Saccharomyces cerevisiae S288C: one gene and its partner. The protein of the gene in region 2 binds, or shares a complex with, the protein of the main gene of each other region. Each region holds a gene or a part of one and is shown on either strand. Other genes may lie near its edges. The genes, in order: BNI5 and CDC11.

Evidence for each region.
Region 1: CDC11 (region 2) and BNI5 share a complex: the UniProt entries of both Saccharomyces cerevisiae proteins name them as parts of the GIN4 complex.

The regions. Positions count from the first base shown.
Region 1 is NC_001146.8:319,538-331,778, forward strand, and holds BNI5 (Bni5p), read right to left. Parts: upstream 4,029-12,241; coding exon 2,682-4,028; downstream 1-2,681. Other genes in the region: SKO1 (Sko1p), read right to left, coding at 1-1,822; YNL165W (uncharacterized protein), read left to right, coding at 4,295-5,515; IBD2 (Ibd2p), read right to left, coding at 5,728-6,783; GTPase RIA1, read right to left, coding at 7,204-10,536; YNL162W-A (uncharacterized protein), read left to right, coding at 10,792-11,010; 60S ribosomal protein eL42 RPL42A, read left to right, coding at 11,785-11,788. UniProt on the Saccharomyces cerevisiae protein: Required for normal septin function and cytokinesis. Its recruitment to the bud neck by CDCd11 and SHS1 ensures efficient localization at the bud neck of MYO1, the type II myosin of the actomyosin contractile ring.
Region 2 is NC_001142.9:574,854-578,730, forward strand, and holds CDC11 (septin CDC11), read right to left. Parts: upstream 1,749-3,877; coding exon 501-1,748; downstream 1-500. Other genes in the region: HOC1 (alpha-1,6-mannosyltransferase), read left to right, coding at 1-318; MIR1 (Mir1p), read right to left, coding at 2,402-3,337. UniProt on the Saccharomyces cerevisiae protein: Septins are GTPases involved in cytokinesis that assemble early in the cell cycle as a patch at the incipient bud site and form a ring approximate 15 minutes before bud emergence, which transforms into an hour-glass shaped collar of cortical filaments that spans both sides of the mother-bud neck.

The DNA of each region.
Region 1 (12,241 bases), on a different chromosome or scaffold from region 2:
TATTTCCCACATTATTAGTAGTTGTGTTACTTTTGCTGATATTTGCTCCAGAGTTCAGTGAGTATTTTTTATCTAGAATTATTGGTCTTGAATTAACGGAAGGATAGCCCGCATTTTCGCTTTTGACAACGTTAGTGTCCTTATTGAAGCTGTCTTCTTGGCCATCCATGTCGTCCCTTGGGTTTTTGCCTCCCCTTCGGTAAAAATTCGTTTCACATATCAATTGCTTCATGTTTGATAATACTGACATTGCACTTGAATAATCACTCCTTGAAATGCTACTCTCTAACAATGCTATTAAAGATGTAGATGGTGGTGATGATGATGACGGAGTTGAAACATTCACATTGAATTGGGAATTCGAGGAGCTTGAGGGTATTATGCCGCATAGCTTCCCAATGACCTGAGTTAGATCGTCATATTCAGATTCATAGAATTGTAGATCATTTTCAATTTTCTTGATGTACTCTTTCTTTCTTTTTCTAAATTTAGATGCAGCTACTCTATTTCTTTCTAAAAACTCCTTTCTTTTTCTTTCTTGCTCTTCATTCTCATCAAGTGTTACGTTGTTTGAAATTTTATTATTTTCAACATCATCTTTTTGTGCTGGTGCAGTCGTAACTGCTGAGTTTTTTCTTGATATGGAATTTTTTCTTGAAGCCTTAGAAGTAGAACTTGTGCTAGACATCCTTCTCTTTCTTTTTCGTGTTTTGTTATTGAACTGGTCATTGTTCTCAATTTGAGTCGTTAAATTTTCATTCTCCTTGTGATTATGAGCGGAGTGCTCGATGGCATTGAACTCTGCCGGATTATCCATTTTGACAGCCGCTTTCGTTGAAGTATTTGGGGAAAAATTGGAATTACTGATGCTGTTGTTGACGGTACCATCTGTGGTATTTGTTGTAGGTGTTGATTTGAATACTGGATTAGCCAAAACTCCAGTAGATGGTAAGTTTAGCAGAGAACTCAATCCCGGCGTAAGTGGTGTACCATTTACAGTTGGGTGCATTATATTAACATGAGGGTGGTTTTCAATACTTCCATTCACTGTGACACTTTTGTTGACATTTTTGCTACCTGTTATAGTATTTTTATTAATTGACGGCAATACGGGATAATTGTAAGATTGCGTAAGAATACCGGGTGTCAACCCGGTCCTGATATTGGACTCATTAGGTGTCAACCCAGATTTGGACAAGTTTAATAAAAAGCCAGGCATTTGTGAATCATTCGTGGGGAAGCCGTTACCAGAATTACTTGTGGTCACGTTCGAGTTTCGTGGCTGGCGTATAAGTGAAGTCCCTGAAGGAGAAGAGCTGTTTGGATACAGAGATCCGGAGGTAGAAGAAACGCCTATTGCACTAGGGTTTGAATTAGAGACTGAAACAGAATGTGAATTCTGACTGGGATTCGTAGTTGAATTTGCCTGATATAAAATAGAGGGAGAAAGGAGTAGAGGTGGTAATCTTTTCGACCCACCAGGTGTGAGAATAGGCGGAGATATTATAGTAGGTCTTTGTTGGCCTGGTAAAAAACTAGGTGAGTCTTTTTTTACGTCATTATGATTACTATTATCTGTAACGGTTGAATTCCCATTTTCTTCTGGAATACTGTTCAAACTATGAGTGGAACGTTGGGAATGTTGTGTTATCGTTGAGGTAGAATTGTTTCGTGAAAGCTCTTTTGGTAGAGACGGATGGGAGATCGTGCCTGGAAGTGACAAAGCCTTCTTGGAAGAGGCGAAGCTTTGTTCAAAAGGATTGGGTTCTAAATCGAAAGTTGAAACAGTACTTGGTTGTCTCGAGCGTTCCTCGCTTGACATAATGATTAAGCAGGGTCTAGAGACTGGGCAGGTGTATTTGGAATGCAGAAATTGAAATGAAAAGAATGAAATAAAAATAAAAATCCACGAATTGATTAAGGAACTTATCAAATAATAGAGATCGGTAAAAAGATAGGAATCTAATAAGTGGAAAACTCACTTGAATAATAAAAGAGTTTTTCTCGATAAGAAAACACAATTCACTTTTACGTTGAACCCCTTTGGTAGTAACTTTTCTGAGCTTAAAACCACTCCTGAGCGTTGGCAATGTAGCACCAAATTATTGTGTTTCTGGAGAACAAATTAGTCTCACGTATCAGTAACCAAACTTGGTCCTTTTAACTGGAAAAATGTGCAGTTTGTTTCGAAAACCATCACCGTATGACTGAATTCATTCTATTCAGCCCAGTTAATTTTCGTGATTTTTCCCTTCGATTCTACTTTTTTCCCTCTGCGACAAAGTTAGCAGGGTTATCGCTAGCGCGGTTAAGTACGACTTGGTTTATGAAAGTTCTTAGAGAAAAGAAGACACAACGCCATTGAAATTGAATTCTGGGTACTGTTATTGTTCCGTTTCATGTTATTACAATATAATTGACTATCTGAACATTTTGTCTTCATTTTTTTTTTTTTTTATTATCGTTTTGTTTACGTTTAGGCGAAATACTCACCTCTTTACTATTAAAATAATAGAATTTATCAGAAAAAAAGTCAGCAACATCAAAAATAACAGATGGATGGCTCTAGGATAAAGGATTCTTATTCTCTTACGATTGTCTATGTTCTTTTGGTATTTATTTTAACTTTATATATCTGTCTTAATTTATAAATATTTATAACAACCCTTGGCGTAATGTAATCATTTAGTTCCAATCCAAAATTGGCCATTTTCGCCACGATCAATTTGCTTTCTCAGATGTCTACTTAATAACACTCCGACCTCATATTTCTCCTTCGTTTTCTTGTCAAGATATTCTTGAAGCTTCACTACGGCTCTATGTAGTCTCTTTCCGTCTTCCATAGATAAAGAACCCTGTGCATTCATCTTGTTTAGATAGTCAATTTCCTTTTGTAACTTAATGCATTTCATGGATAAATAATCATGTCTTTTTTCCAGCTTGGCAATACTGCCCAGCTCAGACGCTGATGTGATAGGAGAGGAGACTGGCGAATCATACTTATTTAGTGAAGATTTACGACTTCCGTTTCTTGAATTGGAATTGCTGCTCACCGAGATAACTCTGAACGGATTTGTAGGGCGTCGTGTCTCGAAATTCGCCATTTTTTTCTGTCCATCACCATCTGAATTAAAGTGATTTATATTGGTACCATCTTCTTTAGAATTCTTTTTAGGGATAAAAATTTTAGTTTGAGAATCTAAGGGAGTGCTTCCTCCAGAGCGATTGGGACAATTCTCTGAATTATCGTCATGGGGTGTTTGATCAGCTAAACGGCTGCTCTCATGGTTGTATTCATTGTCACCTCCTACAACTATGGTTTGCGGTTGTATATCTAGATCCTTATTAGCGGAAGAAAATTTGTCTAATACAAGTTCAGCGTCTAACTTGTTCTCACCGCCCAAGGTGTTATTCTGGGGCATGGGTGATTTGAAAGATTCAATCTCACTGTTTTCCTCTGTTCCCTTATCTACTCGCCCCTCTTCAACATCCGATTTTTCATCCTCCCATTCATCATCATTATTTTCGATAATTTCAACATCAGCTTCACCCCTGTTTTGATCTATATTGACTGTACCATCTTCTTTGTTCTCAGTGCAGGAGTCCTTTGCCTTTTCATTTCCAGCGGAATTTGCGACAAATGAATTATAGGAGTCACCAATAGCAATGGCGGTGTGAGTTATCTGCTCTTTCGCTATAAAAGGTTGAGTAACCGATAGCTGGGATGGGTCATCCGTACTCTTATTCGCTTCATTCTCAGTGGGAATATGGACCTGTGCGGTTTTGTGCTCTTCAACCTGAGCTGAATCTCCTGGGTTACTATCCGCTCCATCATTGCCACTAAAAAGAGCCGTTTCTGCCACCTTTACAGCGTCGACCACACCCGTATCCTTGACATTATCTTCGACAGCTTCGTCCTCCGCAGGTTCAACTAATTGTAAATTTTCGTCAATCATCTGGTTCATCTGGTTGATATCTATCTCTATTTGAGAAAGCCTCTTCTTTATCTTGTCCTGGTCCAAGCCCATCGTTTCTGTTGTTCTATTTCACACTAACATAGCATCACCATAACAGTAAATCAAATTACAAAACTATTAATGATTTTTGTTTATTATGAAGTTTGAATTTTCAGCGCAATATTTATTTCATAACGCGTCTAAAATGGTCTGGGTTCTGGGCATCTCTAAAGCCCTTCACTACTAGTGAAGAAGAAGAACAAGTAAGGCTTTTGGAAAAGAAAGAGCATCAAATTGAACGATAGGAGAAGTGCTACATACATTTGCCAAAGATCCGCATGGATAGAGTACGCTCTTTGATTGGAAATCGCCGGGGACGCCGACATAATCGCCAACATCCTCCGTATCCTCACAGTGGGTCTCCATCCACCGTCAATCTCTTGGGAGCTAATGGTTATGGAGACGACCAATCTACAATATTTGCACGAGAAAATGAATCTCTGGAAACCTCTGCCAACGAGGGCGATGATAGTGCGGATGCAGCTACTTTGAATACAGCGGTATCAGAAGGCTCAACAATTGGAGACCTACAAAGACAGGGTTATGTTAACAGAGCCCCAAGATTCACGTCAGAAAGAGCCATGCCATTCGTTTCGGTGCTACTACAACGAGGGTTTTTTGCATTCCCCAGTGAAGAATCTCTCCAGCTATTTTTACACAACAAGAGGAAGCTCGATAACATTGATCCAAAGAGGGGTCTAGGACTTCCCCTATTTCACGCCATTTCTTTAAACCTGGTCAAGTCGCTTTTCAGTGATCAAAATACACCGGTAATGAGGATATATAAATACGTTATGATAGACTCCCAATGCGATAAACCTCCATTAAACTCAGAAGTGGTCTCTCGAATAAACGAAAATGTCTCCATATATAAATATGAATTCTGCACTATTCTAAAAAAAATGGAAAGCCATAATTTTTCGAGCAGGGTAGAGCACGATTTTATATTTCATAGAAAAGATGAACCTGATGTTCATATCCCCATGATTAATTACAATCAAAGGAAAAATGCGGATACGGCAATTCATGGATTAAATCTTCGTTGGTACGGGACAACTAGTTTAGCTTCACCTTTTGGCTCAAATAGCATCAACCTACTTGTACTCGATGATACGATGGCATCCTACATGAACCAACAAACTATTGAAGAGTTTGATTCTTACAGCCGTTCCCGTCCCACAAGACCGCTGGGTTATCTCCCAGTATGGGCCAGATACACAGATGATAAAGTTAGTGTCATACCGAAAAAAAGAACTTTGAGAGTAGCTACCTTGTACTTACAAGAAACTGATTCGTTTGATGATGGCTCTAGTTTAACATCTACCAATTATACTGAAATGGGCTCTAATATCATTGAAAATGTGCCGTGGGATAGTCAGATACTTACTTGCATGTGCATGCTATTACATGAATATGAATCAAGAAAGGAGAAACGCCACACCGCATGGGGCAGCTCGACCACATATATGCTAAATGGACCGGCAGGATTACTGATGTAAACCCATTTGCATTTACTTGTGTTTTTTCCTGTTACTATTTAGTCATAATACCGCTAAGAAGCATATAAATATTCAAAGAGAAATATTGTCGTACACCATTAATTTTTCAATAACTCTTAAATACGTTTAGAATGTCACAAGTTTTCCTCACAAGTTTTCCTCTATTATGTAATGTTCCCTATACTACTTTATTCCTACAGTAATAATGTTGACTATCTATTCCTTTTCCTACTATCTTGTTCATCTCTTGGTGGATTCGGCATACGATTGTAACCAAACGTACGATTATACCACTTTATCATGTTACGTGGTGGTTCACCAAACACCATGTAGTACTCGCAAAATAAACACATGGGACTTGATTCGTTAACTAGGACAGAGAAATCTGGAACACGGTTTTCCGTTCTGGAAATATATTCAAAATCATGATAATAGTAGTTTCGTAGTTTGGATAAGTTTTCATAATGATGATGCGGGCAACAACTTTTATGGTCTCTAGATTCGTCATAAAAGTCATGTCGCCTTACATGCCCATTCTTTTTCGAGTTCTTTGACCTGCTGTGCTTTCTAGAAGATATGGAATGTTGACCGTCTCCATGCAAACGAGCTGCGTCAACGGTATCATGATCGATATCTGTGACTTCTTCTGCAACATCTAAATCCTCTACATTTGTTACAGTTCGCAACCCCCCCTGTTCTTCACTTCCAAACCCTCCCGGTAACACCGATTCTATCATTTGAGAAATCTTTTCCCCTATACCATCCGGTGTATCCAGTTCTTGGCTCTCATAATCGAAAATTATTTCGGCTTCTTCGCCATCCAAGTTAAGTTCTGAGTCTTTAAGATCATCATCTAAAATATTTTGCAAGTCCTCCTCTATTATGAAGTCTGCACTATTTCTAGAAGCTATTTGGCCTATTTTACTTTCAAAGGTTTCCTTTTCCTCTGCGGAATCAATGTGGTATGCACTTTGGCCATCTATTTTCGCAAGTTCATCTTCCAAACTCAACGAGTCCATCTTAGGAAGAGCATCTTTGAGCTCTTCTAACCGTGCATTTGATAAAGCTTTTCCTCCATTTCTTATAACGAATTGCATTGCATGAGGAGCGTTTTGAAAAGCTTGTCTGTCTTGAAGCTGATTGGAAAGAATTTTAGTCAGCGCTTTCACACCTTCTTGCATCATAACGTTTATTGGCATAGGTCCATCCTCTGAAAGTACCTCCACAGATGCATTAGTCGTTCCACTAGATTGGTTTGTAGGTGTCATTTTCTTGATGATATGGCATGAAAATAGAAGAGAAGAGAATATGATTAAAGCTATAAATTCGTCGTAAGAAGCACGATATCAGTAAATATGGATAACAAATTACCAAATATTTAGCAAAGAAATTCCTATTCAGGGTATATGCAAAAAGTGCAATCTGTAGTTCTTGCTGTAGCTCTCGCTTATTTTGCCATTCTCATCGTCCAGATCATCTCAACTTTCTTGTCCCATCGCTAAAACATTCACTCGCGCGAGAGTATGTAGTATATCATAGAATACGTAAGACTGGAAATGCTTGAAAACTGTGCTATTTCATCTCATATTCAAGTGAATATACATACATACATACATATATTTATATATATTTTCAACTAGTGAAAACTATCTATATTAGTCTATGATTCATATAAACCCTAAAAAACCTTAATTCTTTTTCAAAGTACGTTGTTTTTCGGCATTTTCGACAACTTTTTCTTCAATGAATAGACCTTTCCTTCTTCTGATGGCATTCATATGCTTACGGGCAATATTCTCTCTATCTGCTGTATCACCTAGTTCCTCCAATTCTTCTTCTGTGGTTGGGACCCAAAATGGATCTAAATCGATACACTCGAATCCGGAAAATACCAATTGAGGTTGTGCTGCACCAGATGTTCGTTTACGAATATCTTCACTTAAACCGAATGCTTCCACAACGGGCACATGTGCCTCAATTTGAAAAAACGGTGTACCTTCTTTCATTTCTTCAGAAATGATTTTACCATGCCTCTGTAGAATAACGGCATACACTTTTCCAAGTACATCGACAGAGGTTTGAATATCACATGAGTAAATTGCCCACATAATTCTTGGGGACCAGTCTAAAAAGGCCTCATGTATAGCGTCCCTTGTAGAAGTTATCAACCTCCCTGATAAGTCCACAATATGTTGTTGGTAGCGCGGATCTTCAATAGATTCAATTTCGTCTTGTGACATCTTATGTACGCTTTCAACAAGAACACACATTCCCTGTACGGGCTCATTTGCCAGAGGTCCTTCGCTAACAGCCAGTTGGAAGCCATTTTTGATGGAATCTGAATACTCAAAGGCTGCTGGAGTACCTTCAAATAGGCTTCCAAGAAGATTATCCTGCGACAGCAAAATGTTGCACCCAACTCTACTTGGCCCAAAACCTGCTAACTTTACTTTAAACCCACTTAATAGTTCTCTGCTCTTCTCCTCCTGATTTATGACCTCTTCAAAAGCAACGAGTAAAGACTTTTTGTCTAGAAAAGAACTTCCAGTTGATTCTATGACGGGATCCATGCTTGAAGTGGACGTCTTCAAAATGTTTTTAATGCTATTTTGATGTTGAGATAAAAAGTCTGTAACTTTACCGCTTAATGGGAACGTTCTGAATGTAATCTTGTACTGGCTCAATAGTAGTTCATGAACACCCCTTCCCAGCTGTGAATTCTGCGGTGGATTCATATCTGAGGCTGATAAAAATGTTTCCCTATATGGAATAGCCGGTTCAGAATGTGTAATTTCTATTCCTGCAAATCTCTCTGTTAAATCTTTTAGGCATCTTTCTAAATGTAATTCACCGGCCGTACACAGAATGTGTTCACCAGTATTTTCAACGTATGTGTGCACGCAAGGATCTGCTTGATCCAACAACTTTAATCCTCGTACCAACTTGCTCATTTCCACAGGATTGGCTGGCTCCACAGCAACACGAACGATTGGCGTAAAATGGAAATTGACGCCCGCTAGATTGACGCCTTGTACGCCCTTCTCTATCAACGTACCACTCTTTAAAACTTTACCGGCCAGACCACGAATACCGACTATATTTCCTGATGGACAAACGTCCAAAGGAACCAATTCCTTACCCATAAACAAATATAAATGCGTAATAATCGCAGTTTCAATATGCTCCTCTGGACATTTTGGATCATATTTTGGACCCAATACCGAAATCTCCTGACCAACTCTTAGTGTGCCACTGTATATTCTTGCAAATGCTACCAAGCATTCTTCCTTTTCGTCAAAAATATCATCTACTTCATCGTTCACATCCTCTGAAATTTGCTTAATACTCTCCAAAAGTGGATCTTCTTCCTCATATTCAAACATTGAACTTAGAGGGTCATTTGGATCTATGTCAGTTGGTACAAAATCTAGGCCGAAGTTATCTTGACTATCTGAATCATCCTCCCCCTCATATTCAAATTCTAAATCCAAGGCGGAAGAAGGCTCTGAAACAACACAGAAAACATCATTATTTCTTGAAGGTTTTGGCTTTGTCTGTTCTCCTACTTCGGGGGTCATAACGGTATCTTTTGCTCTTTTATATAAATCTGATGTATTTTTAGAATTGTCATTCAAATCCATCATTGCCATATTTTCTACCATACCAGCATGTTTTGCAGCATTAAGTGCTTCCTCACGTGCCTTTCTACTTCTCTCCATCAGCTCATCCGAAGATGCTATCCTCTTAGATTCAACAGGTAATTCTTCTCTAGGAATTGAAAGCATCTTAGATACGTATGCACTAACTGGTCCTTCTTTATCACATGTCTTCATGGCTTTCAGAAGTCTTGGATCCATGGCTGCTGTGTCGGATTCGGAGACCAAAATAGTGTTCAAACGATCGGTTTGTGATTCCAAAGGTGAAGGTAATTTTTCAATAACTGTTAACAATACTGCTGTGCTGACGGGTAGCCATTGACCCATGATAGTTCTTAACAATTGTTTATCGTCCTTCGACCTTAGATCACGTGCAAGTAGCTTAATATTTAAAGTTTTTGCTATTTTTTCGACCATTTCAGAATCTCTCGATGTGATTATGTTTTGATAAATTTTCCATATATTTTCGAGGATTAGCGATGTGAAAAGGGGTTTCAGGGATCTTCCCTTAAGGCCTTTATTGTTAATAATTTTTTTTGTCTTGGGATCCATATAGAAATCACCCCATAAAACTTTCTGTAGGTTTTCCCTTTTAGCGCCTAATTTTTGTTCGTAAAATTTGGCCAATTGACCGATGTTGAAACCCCAACCATCAATTGCGGAAGCAAAAATAACGTTGTTATCAGTAGGGTTAAAGTAAATACCCGAATCATCCTTTTCAATATATTCCGCGTTTTCGTTCTTTTCTAATTGCTCCCTCCAAAATAAATCATCCAATTGTCTCTCGTTTGCGAAAAAGGACCCGATAACTGAGTTGACTTGTTCAATGACTTTGGACAAGTGAATATAAGCTTCTTGGGGAGTTAGTTGTAGTTCTGTGATCAATCTATCAATCTTATTCAATACTAAAATGGGCTTCAGCTTCTCCGTCCAACATTGTCTCAACACTGTGACGGTTTGCGAGCATACCCCCTCTACGACATCAACCAGTACGACAGCACCATCACATAGTCTTGAAGCTGCACTGACCTCACTTGAAAAATCAATGTGACCTGGGGAATCAATTAAGTTTACTAGATGCTCGCTTACAAGAGGCTCATCGGAACCTTCTTGTTTACGCAATACCCTAAAATATAAAGAGATAGCCGATGATTCCATTGTGATACCACGTAGTTGTTCGTCAGGCCTGGCATCTAAGAATCGAATTTTGCCGGCAAGCCTTTGTGATATAATACCATTCGAAGCCAAAAGAGAATCTGAAAGTGAAGTTTTACCGTGATCAACATGAGCAACAATACATATATTTCTTATACAGGAAGGGTCATTTTGCAGACGTTTGTAAGTCTCCGATTCCACTCTAGGCATATTTGCTTATCGTGCTTAGAAAAATAACTGAGTTTGGTTATTTTATAAACTATTTTGATAATCTTGATGATGTACAAAGATTGTATTTCGGGTGCACCTATCTATCAATATTCTTGGCTCTTAAGTTCCCATTTTTCAAAATTTCTTTTCTCGTAGGAAAAAGAAAAAGGAAGCGATGAGCTGAAAATTCCACTTTACAATATATCGAATATCCAGTATACCAAAACTACATACAAACGAACACGTCATTAAAAGATGTCTGATAAGCCCGACTCCCAAGTATTTTGTCCAAATTGCAATGAAAGACTTCAAAAGTGTTTAGTACAGCAAAATTATGCCATTATAATATGTCCCAGCTTAGTCTGCGGCTACCCATTCAATCAAAGAGAAGTACTCGAAAATCTAACGTATGTAGACGATAATGACGTCTTAAAAGTTGCAAAAAAAAGATTATCTTCACGAAGCAAACCATAAAATAGTTGCACTATTGCTGTTCATTATCTTTCATTATCCCTAGTAACGCCATTGCAGAGTCAAATATGAGCGATAACAATATAAAGAGCAATAACATGATAGTTGAAATTAACATAAAAGAAGCGACATAATTAAAGGTCTCAAAGAGTGAAGATCAAGTATCCGGTTTTTACGAATAATCTACTTTCTATGTGAAACCCAAAAAAGTTCGTACAAGGAAAACTAAAAAGTGTGTAATAACTTGTCTAGCTTTGGCATTAAAACTTGTCAATTATTCATCACCAATATAGACTAATGCGTTTTGGAACGCCAAACCGCAGTGACAAATAGCAAATATGTAGCTGTCATATCGGCATATAATAACAGTTTTCTACCAAATGCTGTCCTACATTCAGAGATCTTACATCCTTACATCTAAAGTAAAACCTAGACATTTACTTCGAGTTATACTTTTTTTTTATTTATCTATTTTTTCTCTTGCGGACATTTAACACCTGAATTCCGCCTAACGCCAGGACTGATCCTGCCAGGGAAGGGAGCTTTGTCTAGTGCCAATAGGCCGGACCAGTAGGAAGGTTACAGCAGCTGGCCCGCAGAGTGATTGGGTCACAGGAAATAGCGCAACCTTCTCTTTTGCCCGGGAAAGGCGGTTCAATCTACCTTCGAAGGGCTAGTACATGAGCGCGAAGGAGGCAGATAATAGCACCATTAAGTGGTCCAAATGCATCTTGAAATCTAATCCTTAATAGAGGAAAACAACAATTATCAGTAAAAATGGGTATGTTATAACCATAATTCCTAATGGTGAATAAAATCAGGACCAATAAAGAAAAGCTAATTTGATTTTTATTGTCAATGAAATTTCATAATCGTCATGAATGCATAAACAGACACACCTAGCAACTGTATAATCTGCGCCTAAAAAGGGCGTATACACAAAACTAAACGATGCGCAATAAAAGTTCAGCAGTCAGCAATGAAACCGAGATATGCAGCAACAGAGTATCATATGCATGGAGGATCCTTTCTGTTTTTCTGATAATATGCTCTGAAAAAGCTCCAAACAGCACAGTAGCCTATTTGTGAAGCTCAAAAAAGGCTTCTATTTCCCTCGCTATCTTCAGATTGTGCAGTGATATTCTTTGAGGAAGGAAACGTAGAGGGGATAAGTTGGATAACTGTTATTTCTTTTCAATATGCTAGATTTTGCTTACCACCTTACTGATTTTTT
Region 2 (3,877 bases):
AAGAGGGACGACCAACTAAACGTCAATCTAAGGAATGATCTGAATATTATGAGTTGGACGGGTTCTGGGTTGTGGACTGACACTATTTTCACGTATTTCAATGACTTTATGAGAAGTGGTGTCAGGGAGAAGGTTACATGGAAATTATTCCATAACCTAAATCAACCAAAATTGCTAAGTGATGTTCTGGTCTTTCCAAAATTCTCCTTTAACTGTCCAAACCAAATCGATAATGACGATCCACACAAGAAATTCTATTTCATTACTCATTTGGCATCACAATTTTGGAAAAATACTCCAAAGGTGGAGCAGAAATAAGTACTTCTACGCAGATATAATAAGGAACTTTTTTGTTAATTTTTTTTTGCTGATCGATATTAATACTTTTTAAGAATGAAGAAAAAAAAAAAATAATATACCAGATGTATTTACTTATATACAACACTCACTCTTTATATATATAGAGAAAGAAGAAATAAGTGAGGAAGCCAAAAGCGGACTCATTCTTCCTGTTTGATTTTCGCCTCTTTTTCCAACCTGGCTTCAATTTCTCTTAATTCCTTTTCTCTTTGCAACAGTTCTTGTCTTTTCAACAGCAGTTCTTGCTGAACTCTCTCCTCAAATGCCTTTAGTCGCTCTTCTTCTAACCGTATTTGCTCCTCACGTGTCATGTAGGTTTCGTTATTTTCGCCAGTGCTTTGCCCGTGCATATCGGATGCTGGGTTGAGAACATCGTTATTAATATTATTACTTTGCTTGAAGGGATTTGTGTTTCTCCTTGTTGTGGTGGACGATGACGACGAACCATTCAATTTTGTCAGATTTGGACGTATGGATTCTGCCGCGACAGATTCACCTGATAATGCCTCGGTTCTATATCTTTCATATAATATCTCATGTGTGTAGTTTTTCAAGTCATGTAAATGAGAGATCAATAACGCATTCCTTAAGATAACAAAATCAGAGATCGATGAATCTTCCACGTCCAGTATGCCCCATGGATACTTTCTGCCACGAATTGTCCCAACATCGCCGCCCATTTCGTAAACTTCATTGGATCCAATAATAGCAAAAGGTAGAAGTGTACGTAGGTACATATTGGTTTCGTAATCTTCGTCTGATATTTCATCTTCATCGAAAGGGAAATTATAAATTGGCAAGTTCCATCTGTCGATATCCTCCATGATCAATTTTTTATTCAGTTTCAGTTCATCTCTTGTCAAGGAATCTGATTTGCTGATCACAGGGATGATGTTAACTAAGGATCCCAACTGTCTGATGAATTCCACATCAATCTCTTTTAAACCGTGGCCAGTTGGGTTGATTAAGTAAAGACAACAATGAACTCTGCCGTCCTTAAATCTTGGGTTTCTTCTCACACGACTTTCTTCCAATAAGATTTCATCATATTGGTGGCGAATGTAGTCGGAAATGATTTCGAAAGATGGAGAATTGTCGAGAGAATCACCGAATCCCGGAGTATCGATGATATTAAGTTGAATCTTGACACCTTCATCATCTTCTAATTCGACCGTCTCCTCTCTCAATTGTAAGTCTATTTCTGTGGACGTATCTGTGGGTAACAAGATTGTCGTCGAAGTGTCTACAACTTGCTGACCGCACAAAGTATTTATAAAAGTCGATCTACCAGATCCGGACTGGCCCACGATCATCACAGTGAAGGTTATACCTCTTTTCAAATGCTTTCTTTTTCTTAATGCAGAAGATGCGTCAATTATTCCGGACATGGCTGGTGGTTAGCAACTTTAGGCCTTGTGATGATTGACTTTCTAAACGGCTCCAGATCGGGTCGCCAATACGTGGTGTCTACCTATTTTACTTTTCGATCAAATACTTTTTTGTTTATTTTTCTTTATGTTAGAAGGCGGAAAAATAAAGAATACTGGCGATCCTGCATGGTCGGGTAACGACCCACGAGCATTGTGTTGTGTAAATATAGCCATATTTAAGCTATATTTATCTGTATAACATATACGTGTCCGTATGTGCCCGACCAAATATGTTACTGCGATGAAATGGATTGAGAACGATGTTTAAATGTTATGTTCCATGTTGTGTTTTCCACCAAAAAACCGTGAAGGACAATTCAATGAGCAAAGGGTTTAACGGAGCTATAACCTGCTTTTGTAGATGAAAAAATAGAAAATTCAAATATATATATATATATATATTTATAATAGCATGTTAATTTACAGATATTTGGACTTTTGCAAAGTCAGTAAATACATGGAATAAGAATACTAGTGATTGAATAGAGTACATTTAAACAGATTTATTTATTTCTTTCCTTTGTTGACTCTTTCTTAGAATATGAAAAAAAAAAGGGGCTCCGGTGGTGATGAGGAGAGAATATATATGCATGTATCAATCAAGACCATTTCTAATGACCACCACCACCAATTTCAATGGTTGGTGGGCAACCCAAAGTGCTCTTTAAAGAACCATAAATACCAAATTGCAAGGAGGTCAAGGTACCAACCATGACCAAACGAGTAGGCAACCCAGCAAAGGAACCGAAAAATCCTAACTGTTTGGCCAACTGAGCCAACAAACCGACTGTGGATTGGCCAGGAGCCTTCTTAGTCTTGTTGACCTTGGACAACAGAGTGTCTGCTGGCTGGGAAACAATGGCAGCGGCCAAACCAGCAGTCAAACCGGAAAGCAAATTCAACAAAGTAGTGGAAGTAGAGGACAATTTTTCTTTTGGACCGGCGAACCCGTAGTAGAACTCGGAGGCACGTTCAAAGACCAAGAATTTAGCAATGTTGTAAGGAATTTGCTTGAACAAAATTGGAGTGAACCCACTGTAGAAAGAGCCGATACCTTCTTCTTTCAAAATTCTGGAAAACCCTCCGACGAGTCCATTAGCGAACTGTGGTTGGGAGACCAATCTGATTCTAGTGGCTTCTAGGGGACACAAGGCAATGTCTGCCAAGAATTCGGCCATGGCAGCAGAACCCATGTAAACAGAGTTCTTGTAGCGAGAGGCGGTATCGTAACCCAAGTTGTCAATGAAGAACTTCTTGAACACTTCGTAACCACCGAACTTGAAGGCACCTTGGATAGAGTAACCCAACAAAGTAGGACCAAACCCGGTCAACAACGCACCAGCACCTTCTCCGGCGATGATTTGCTTGAAAGAGCCGACCATACCCTTGTTGTACACGGTAGGTTCCAGTTGGATTCTCGTCTTAACGACATCGATCGGGACCATACTGGAGTGAGTCGACCCGCACCCTATGGCGCCGGCTAGGGCGAATTTCATGTAGTCAGAGACAGAGTACTGTGGAATAGCAGGAGCAGCAGACACAGACATGGTGAGATGAGACTTTTTGATCTTTGTAGTTCTTCTTCTTGCAGATCACTCTGTTCTTTGCGATGGTTCTTGTAGATAAAAAGATCGGGAGGATGGATCGCACTTAAAAATCTTCTCGAAACGGGCCGCGGCCGGGCATGGGACCCGTTCTCGACGCTGATTGGCTAACGATGGTTGGGCAGAGTCTCAGCTGCTGCTTGCTCACATTCGACAAAAGACTAGAGGAAAGCAGTACCATGCTGCGATACTGTTGCATCGCAGCATTCCGCTGTCCAAAAACAATACCTGTTGTATTGTTTGAGGCTGGCAGGCGCTTGGGTAGAAACAACACCCGATACTGGTGACAGGGCTATCTATAAATATTAAAACTTGACTCCGCAATTCGTCGTAAACTGCCTTAACCATCGTAATGGACGCCGTGCAAATGCTTCGACTTTTCCCAGTAGTCAGGCATTGCGCCAGACACTTGTGCTGCTTAATTGTCGTAATGAAAACATATCGGTAGCGGCCTTTTTTTATTTTTTTTCTCTATGGGCTGAC